Oryzias latipes: one gene and its partner. Each later gene encodes a partner of the first gene's protein in a complex. Links are inferred from orthologs where the notes say so. Each region holds a gene or a part of one and is shown on either strand. Other genes may lie near its edges.

Evidence for each region.
Region 2: pold2 (region 1) and pold3 share a complex: the UniProt entries of both Homo sapiens proteins name them as parts of the both the DNA polymerase delta and DNA polymerase zeta complex. The link is inferred for Oryzias latipes from reciprocal best matches to the Homo sapiens genes POLD2 and POLD3.

What each region holds. Positions count from the first base shown.
Region 1 is NC_019867.2:18,717,044-18,720,866, forward strand, and holds part of pold2 (DNA polymerase delta subunit 2), read right to left. Parts: intron 2,568-3,823; coding exon 2,410-2,567; intron 1-2,409. UniProt on the Homo sapiens protein: Accessory component of both the DNA polymerase delta complex and the DNA polymerase zeta complex.
Region 2 is NC_019875.2:1,861,691-1,865,967, reverse strand, and holds the start of pold3 (DNA polymerase delta subunit 3), read left to right. Parts: upstream 1-1,156; 5' UTR 1,157-1,255; coding exon 1,256-1,312; intron 1,313-1,722; coding exon 1,723-1,778; intron 1,779-2,269; coding exon 2,270-2,369; intron 2,370-2,453; coding exon 2,454-2,493; intron 2,494-2,652; coding exon 2,653-2,785; intron 2,786-2,872; coding exon 2,873-3,122; intron 3,123-4,051; coding exon 4,052-4,124; intron 4,125-4,277. UniProt on the Homo sapiens protein: Accessory component of both the DNA polymerase delta complex and the DNA polymerase zeta complex.

The DNA of each region.
Region 1 (3,823 bases):
TTTTTTGGATCTAATTGACTCTTCTTCAGAAGGGGCCTCACCACCGCCGTCTTACAGGCAGAGGGGAAGACCCCCGTCTGAAGAGAGCAGTTTACTATATTTAAAAGCTCTGACTCAAAGAATCCATAAAATGTTTTAAAAAGTGAAGTGGGAATGGGATCTAAAAGGCAGGTTGTAGTGTTTACTTGGGATACAACTCGACCAAGCATATCCGCATCAACCAGGACAAAACTCCCCAGTGTTTTTCTGGTAAAAACAATGCTAGTCTGTTAAGATCAGTGTACTGCATGGATGAAATGTTTGATCTTATAGCATTGATTTTACCCATGAAGTGGTCTGCGAAGTCCTCACATGCAGCATTAGATGATGGCATGGAGGACTTGTTGAAGTCTTTATTTTTTAAAACATCAATGGTTTTAAAAAGAAATTTAGGGTTGTTTTTATTTTCTGAAATGATTTTTGAAAAATAAGAGCTTCTGGCCCGTTTAACTGAGTTATTGTAGATTTTGAGTTGTTCTTTTAAAATGTCTTGATGAATTATCAATTTCGTCTTCCTGTATTTCCTCTCTGCCCTCCTGCAATTCTGCTTCAGACGCTTAATGTCATCAGTCTTCCATGGGATTTTAGGAGTGGCTCTTAATGTTTTTGTTTTGAATGAAGCCACTGCATCTATGGAATCTGTTATTAAAATGACCAACAATAAAATCACAAGGTGCAGGTAAAATCTGAGCAGGAGTTTGCTTAAAAATATCAATAAAACTTGCAGCCACTTCAGGAGTTAAATACCGTTTCCTCACAGTTTTCACTATGAGGAAAATGTCTCCAATGTAAGTGAATACATGAATGAGGAACCACTTAGTGACATTGACCAAACGTCTGAGAAAAAGACACAACCACTGACTTGATTATTCAGATTTTAGTCGAAACAAGAGAGAAATCTGAAGGACCTTTGCAAACACTGCAATTTGCTTCATAAAGATTTCCGTGTTTTGGTTTGAACCACTGCAGATATTCAACTCGATTCAAAAATACTTTCCTAGTCTCCAAAGGTGAGCATGAACATTTGTACCAACTTATTTTCTGAAATCCTTCAGAGTCATTGGCTTGGCGGTCGTTATAACTTTGTCACAGCAGATGGGAAGCTTCTGAATGAAGGCCTCTGTTGTTGACTTAATGTGGAGGATCCATGAGGTTTTCCCATAATGCTCCAAAAAAGAACCCAGGCCAGAATCAGCAACTAAAGACCCACTCCAATAAAAATCCTGCTTTTGGTGTTTTAAAAATGTTCTTGTGGTAATTTTCTGATGGTGGAGGACACATATGAATAAAGTTGAGATCAAATTCTGATTTTTTTTTTAATATTTCTTACTTCAATTTGTTGTGAATCAGGAGCAGACAAAAATGCTGTTGAAAAAAGCCATTTTGTTTCGCTGCTAATGTTAGGATGGGGTTGTGAGGGGCTGTAAGCTAGCGGGACAGAATGTAAACAAAGCGATGACGGGAAGAGTGGGGACCGTGGCACCGTGCCAGCAGTCTCACTCACAACCAAATTTCTAATGAACTCCTGGCGCTCTGCAGAAATGATGTCTTAGAAAGTCTTGTTTTTCCCCCCTCTAAAAACGGCATAATCATACTTAAAGACCACTGATTTTAAAATAGATCAAAAGATGATCAGAGTAGGACTTTAACAGTTTGTTCTTAAGGTCAGGGTACAAACTCTGATCGTTGAAGGATCTGAGTAATTGGTACCGGGCCTCACAAAAAAGCATACATGGCTTGCAATTTGATTCAAAACTGAGTTTTATTTTGGAAAACTTTCTGCCAAAACTGTCTGTCCCTCAGTCAAAGGGTTCGCCCTGGTCACGTGTCTTACCTGCAGCCACTACCTTCTCAAAGACGCTGATCACATCCGTGACACTTAGTACATCACTGCCAAAATGAAAACCCCAAGCTAGCAAAGTCAACAACAAAAAAACATATTTGGAAAATTTATTTAGGCAGAAAAGAGCCACAGAGGAAGAAACTTCAAAAAATAAACAATCTGCATTGAAGTCTCTACTTAAAATATGGATTCATAGGTCGCTCCCATACAAGCAGGCTCAGCAACATATGCATTTACCAACCTTTATCAAGTTAGGAAGTCATTGTTGATAAAGTTGCAAACCCAGAGTATTAAAAATAGAAAATAATAGTTTTTATGTCCATCACAGCCTAAAGGCCAGTCTATGAAAATCTTGTCTGACAATAAAGCGGTTGATGCTGCTTTAGGCCATTTGCTCTGGTACTCGGTAAAACCTAGAGTCTAAATTTCCACACGCCTGCAAGATCATTTCAGGTTAAGCAAGACGCTTAACCCGACGCATCAAGACGCTTGATGACAAAAATCGTGTGAATGATGATGCTGCGTACCTCACTCCATCAATGCTGGCTTCAAATGGATTAGAGACCAGCTGCAGGGTGTTGTATGCAGAAGATAAGGGGAACATACATGGGTGAAGAGGTTGCTGTGGGAGAGTGTAGTTGGTTGGATCATACTGGCCCGGCATTACATCTACTGGAACAGAAGCCTTAAAAAACAAAAGAGGCAATACCAGTGAGCAATTACTACACAAAACATTCAAAAGTCCGTTTTTTTTATAAATGTCTCCCAAAACACCCATCTGCTCTGTCTGTGCTTTACTATGTCCTCCAGACGCTGATAAACAAAATAAACTGCAATATTGAGTTTGTTTGTAATTCCTTTATCAAACCACTAGATGGAGATATATCCTTTTTGGACAGACTTTTCCTTTTTTCTTTTTAAAGAAAGAGATTTGTTACAATGGATTATTAATTTCTACTTGATAAAATAATGGATCTTTGCTGTTAGAGAGGTTCCACACTCATCTTGGTTCAGTTATTTAAAAACTAGGAAACAACATGAGGGGATCAATAAAAATATTTTCACCGGAAACTGTTGGCTGCCTGAAGAATCAGGTCTTGGACTCCCGACTGTTTAAGTTAGATCTTTATTGGTTTTTATTGGGTTTTATTTATTTTTGTTTAATTTATTGATTTTATGCTGTTTGTTTTTGTTTGTTGTTTTGTTTTTACCCAGCGTTGTTAAGCACTTTCTAAATAAAGTTGACTTTATTTAGTTTTATTATTGCTGTCTAAAAATTGTTTAAATAAATTGTTTCAGTGACTGGCAAAATATCTCTGTTTTCAGGAAATAATACCGTTTCATAAAGTAAAAAAAAAAAAGGATGTGACCAAAGCAGATGACGTGATTGTTGGTAAAGGAGACACTTTGTAACAGATAAAAGAAATTAAGATCTTTCTCTTTCGGCTTTTCCCATCAGGGGTCGCCACAGCGAATCATCCTTTTCCACCTCACTCTATCATGAACATCTTCTACCCTAACGTTAGCCAACTTCATGTCCTCTGTTAAGACATCCATATATCTCCTCTTTGGCCGTCCTCTTGCCCTCCGGCCAGGCAGCTCCATCTCCAACATCCTTCTACCAATATATCCACTATCCCTCCTCTGAACATGTCCAAACCATCTCAGTCTGGCTTCTCTGACTTTGTCGCTAACACAGGCAACGTGAGCCGTCCCTCTGATGTACTCGTTCCTTATCCTGTCTAACCTGGTCACTCCTAAGGAGAACCTCAACATCTTCATCTCTGCTACCTCCATCTCAGCCTCTTGTCTCTGTCTCACTGCTACCGTCTCTAACCCATAGAGCAGAGCTGGTCTCACCACTGTCTTGTACACCTTTCCTTTGAGTCTTGCTGGCACTCTTCTGTCACACAACACTCCTGACACTTTCCTCCAACCGCT
Region 2 (4,277 bases), on another chromosome or scaffold:
AACCCTCCTCACCCGCCATATTATCCGACCCCTCCTCCCAAAACCCCCCCTAATGCCCTCCCCACTCTGCAATGGGGAGGGCCCCAGAGGATCCCGGTGAGCCATGCACTCTCCCACACTTGCTCACAATCTCCTGGATGTCCCCCACCCTCCGTCGCCACGCAGTAACCCCTTCTGGTCCGATCGACCCCCAAGCTCGCACGCCCGACCACCACTGCAGCCGACAGGATCCCCACAAGCCTGGCCGCCCTGAGAGGACCAGGCGGGTGAAGGCCGGCCGCCCCTCCCAGACCCCACCGATGTATGGTGGGTGTGTGTGCTGCAGGCAAAATAGGAGGTCTCCAGTGTGGAGGGCCCCACTGCTGCCAAGCAGTAGAGCCCCCCCACTCCGGGGTCCCTCTGTGATTGGTGTGTGCTTGCTTTGTGTGTGCTGCTAACATTCAGTGTGCAGTGTGTGTGTCTAAAATGCTAAATGAATCATCATTTTTTTAGGCCTCTACACGCTTAAAACAATGTCTTCTGTTGTTGCTGCAGCTGTGATTGTCAGGATTCCTTTCAGAATTTTGTTCAATCAATCGTTTTCGGTGACCAAACATATGTGAAAGAATAATCAAAACATTTATACAATTCTATTATTCAGATTTGAAATCCTGATTGGGTGATTGGGATTGAGATTTTTGCAGTTAAAAAAAAGCGTTAGGGTTCATTATCTCTCTCCAACATCAGCAGGAGAAAGATCGGCCCTCATACCCACTTCACTTTGAGCGCCGTTGCGCTCAGTTGTCTTTACGCCCTTTCACTTTATGGCAGAGATGAAACGCTATACTTGTTTGTCAATAGAAAATTACAGAGCCCTTGACATGATATTATATATATATATATATATATATATATATATATATATATATATATATATATATATATATATATATATATATATATATATATATATATATATATATATATATATATTGTTCCCTCAAATAAAAAAGTTGTGGCCACAGCTTAGTGTTTTGTGTGCACAAATTGGTGTTTCGTGACAATAAATTAACATTTCATTAGCATTTTGCGCTCAATCAGTTCAAGTCAAAGTGAACTACACGCGGTAATACCTCTCCCAACCGCTAGAGGGCAGCCGCGCCATCCATGACAACGGAAGCAGGTGCATGAACGTGACACCAGAAAGGAAGTAAATAAAGCGCCTTCCCGCGCAGTCAAATTAGATCAGGAACACCTTTACACTGAAACAAAGAAAATGGATGAGTTGTACTTGGATAATATTGACGAATTTGTGAACGATCACAACAAAATAGTAAGTACAATGTCAGATTGGGTTTTTGTTGCTGTGATGTTTGTAGTTTAGCTTCCCACAAGCCTCGAAGTGCCGAATTGTTTACCTTGTTTTTAAAAACACTCATCATGCGTTGAATTATATTTGCTTTATCTAGAAAGAAGACGAGCTCTGTTTTCTACTCCAACTCATGTATTTGTTGAGGTTATTAATAATTCAGCCATTGAAATGTAGTTTTACTAAACTGCAGAAAAAAATGCTTCTACAGTTGATTAGATTGTCGGTTTCTTAGTTTGAAAAAAACTTTGACTAAAAGAGGCTGATAATTAATATGTTTTATGTTTGTCATCGTATATAAAGCCCAGAATGTTTGTGTAAAGAATTAGTGTGACAGGATCAACCTGATTGATAATCACTGATCTGTTTTCCAGGTTACCTATAAATCGTTGAGTCTGACACTTGGAGTCCATGTAAACACAGCAAAGCAGTAAGTGACCCAGCTTCACTTCGAGTGGTTATTACATTCAGATTTAATCTAAATTAAAATAAAAAGGAAAAGAAGAACGGAGTGTTTTTTAAAGACTCTTAAAATGGTCTCTGTAAAAGTAAATGACCTTCAGTCCAAGTCAAACAAAGCTGCTAAACATTATATGTCCAATTTTAGTATATTTTTAAAATGTTACTATCACCTGCCTAAGAATTTGCATTTTCTTTAAGATTGAATAGAATTGAATAAAACTTTATTGATCCCACAAAGGGGAAATTACCTTTTTACCATGACTCTGTTAAAGGAAATAAAAACTAAAATTACTCTTTAAAAAAGGTGTTGTGTAAACAGATTTAAAGAGAAAAGGTTTAACTTCTTTCTATAAAAACAACAAAGCAGAAATAGATTTTTTAAAATATAATTATTTATGACCTGAAAAAGAAAACATTCGTTTTAATCCTAATAAAATGTGTAAATTGCTAACTTTGCAGAATGCTTTATCATTACTTGGAGCACAAGAGGAAGGAGAGCTCACCTCAGCTGCATGCAACCTACCTGGTAACCGGGAAGTTTGTTGACAACGGTCAAACTGTGAGTAACTGGGACAGCTTCTGTCCAGGACGCTTTGACAGCTCTGTCTGATTCAATTCATGTTTGAAATGTCCTCCTTTCCAGTGTCACAAAGTGTCGATTGTGAGAGAAGATCAGTTGGAAGGTGTGTTGATGCTTTCCGTAGCGCCGTCAAACTGAAGTTTCTTTTCATGATCATTTTTACGAAACGGCAAAGAAAATAACATTTTTGGAGTCCAAATTTTCATTAATGCTTGTTTTTCTGGCACAGTTGGGCTAAAATACTTGATGCTTTCTTTTGCAGATTTCAAATCAAAGATGAGCCTGATAGTCAGCGTTCATGTCTACAGCGTACAGAAAGCTCTGCTGAAAGACAGCGGACCCCTTTACTCCGTCGACTATGACGCCGTGAAAGACCATCTAAAGAACTGCAGCAAGTACGAAGGATTTTGGTGATGCGTGGACAGAAAGCTGCAGATCTAGCAGGTGGTGACCGCTGCCTTCCTCTCTTCCTGCTCCTGCAGGTACAGCGCCATTCAGTGTTCCGGCGCCGTGCCCGTGTCTTCCCTGGAGCGGCAGCAGGCGTTGAAAGCACACAACCCTCCTCAGTCTGAGCCTGGAAACTCTGGGACCAACAGAGAAACCAACCCCGCTTCCAAGGCCCACCCCAGACCGCCAAAAGGCATCATGGGAATGTTTTCAAAGAAATCTGCAGTGAAGAGTCAGAATACAAGCGAAGAAGTCAAACCTGAGCAGAAAGATGAGCCAGCAGTGGTAGGCTGCTGCAGCTTCTTCTTCTTATTCTGCCCCGCAGCAAAAATGTCCCCCCCCACCTAAACTCTCCAAAATAAAATTCTCCCAAAACTCGCTGAAAATACGTTTTGGACGCGGTGAACGACCCACATTTAAAAAAAATCACAACAGGAGAAACTGTCAAAGAAATGAATCAGACCCAAATGTCTTAAAGGGCTGAAAACGTTATATTTCAAAATCATCTAACAAAACCAAGACACACGTATCGGGGAGATCCAGAGAAAGTTTAGAAATGATTATGGGATGGCCATAGGACCTACAGCTTGTTTTGTGGCTATGTGTGAATTTTTGACATTTTTGCACAATAAAGGAAAAAAAACTTTAGTTCGAGCAGTTTTCCCCAACAAAATTTCACATCCAGGCCACCGTCTGAAGTCTATAACCCCAACCAAAGTTTAGTCGAACTTTGACCTCGATAAGAGCCCGCCATCTTGGATTTAAAACCCCTCTCCCATTTGTGGCGGCTACAAACAGGGATTTTGTTGTGTTGAGCATCACCTGAAAGCTGCTAACGGCGTCCGCTTGGCGACTTCACAAAAGGGTTGTTCCTCCGTTTCTCACACATTCTTTACCAGAATATTGGGAAAATTCAATATATGACTCGTTGGCTCAAGCAAACTAACCATATAAATACATGAACATATGAGGAATGTGGGCGCGGATAACAGCCTAGTAAATCCAAAAATGGACTTTTGCTGATTCTTGTAAAACTTCATGGAGCTGTTTGCCTAAATGGGTGCTATGGATATAAAACTAACAGAAAAGCCTCCATTTTACGGGAGGACAAAAGTGTTTTTTGTTTTATTTATCATGAATTTGTGCCATGCTTTATTTAGTGTGTTCCTGTTTTCTGTGTTGCTTCTGGCACCTATGATTATTGTGTTTTGTAGGTGGATACTGCTAAAAACAAGCCAGCTGCAAAAGCCAATCCAATGATGAACTTCTTTGGGAGTCAAACAGCAAGTCAGTTCCATCATCAATACAGTTTATTACTAACCAAATCCTATTTCCAGCTTCCGTTTAGTGTGTCGACATCAGAAAATTCCATATCTTGCATTTAAATCTTCTTAGTCTTTACCTCAAGTTGAGGTTCACCAAACGCTGCTCATGTTCACA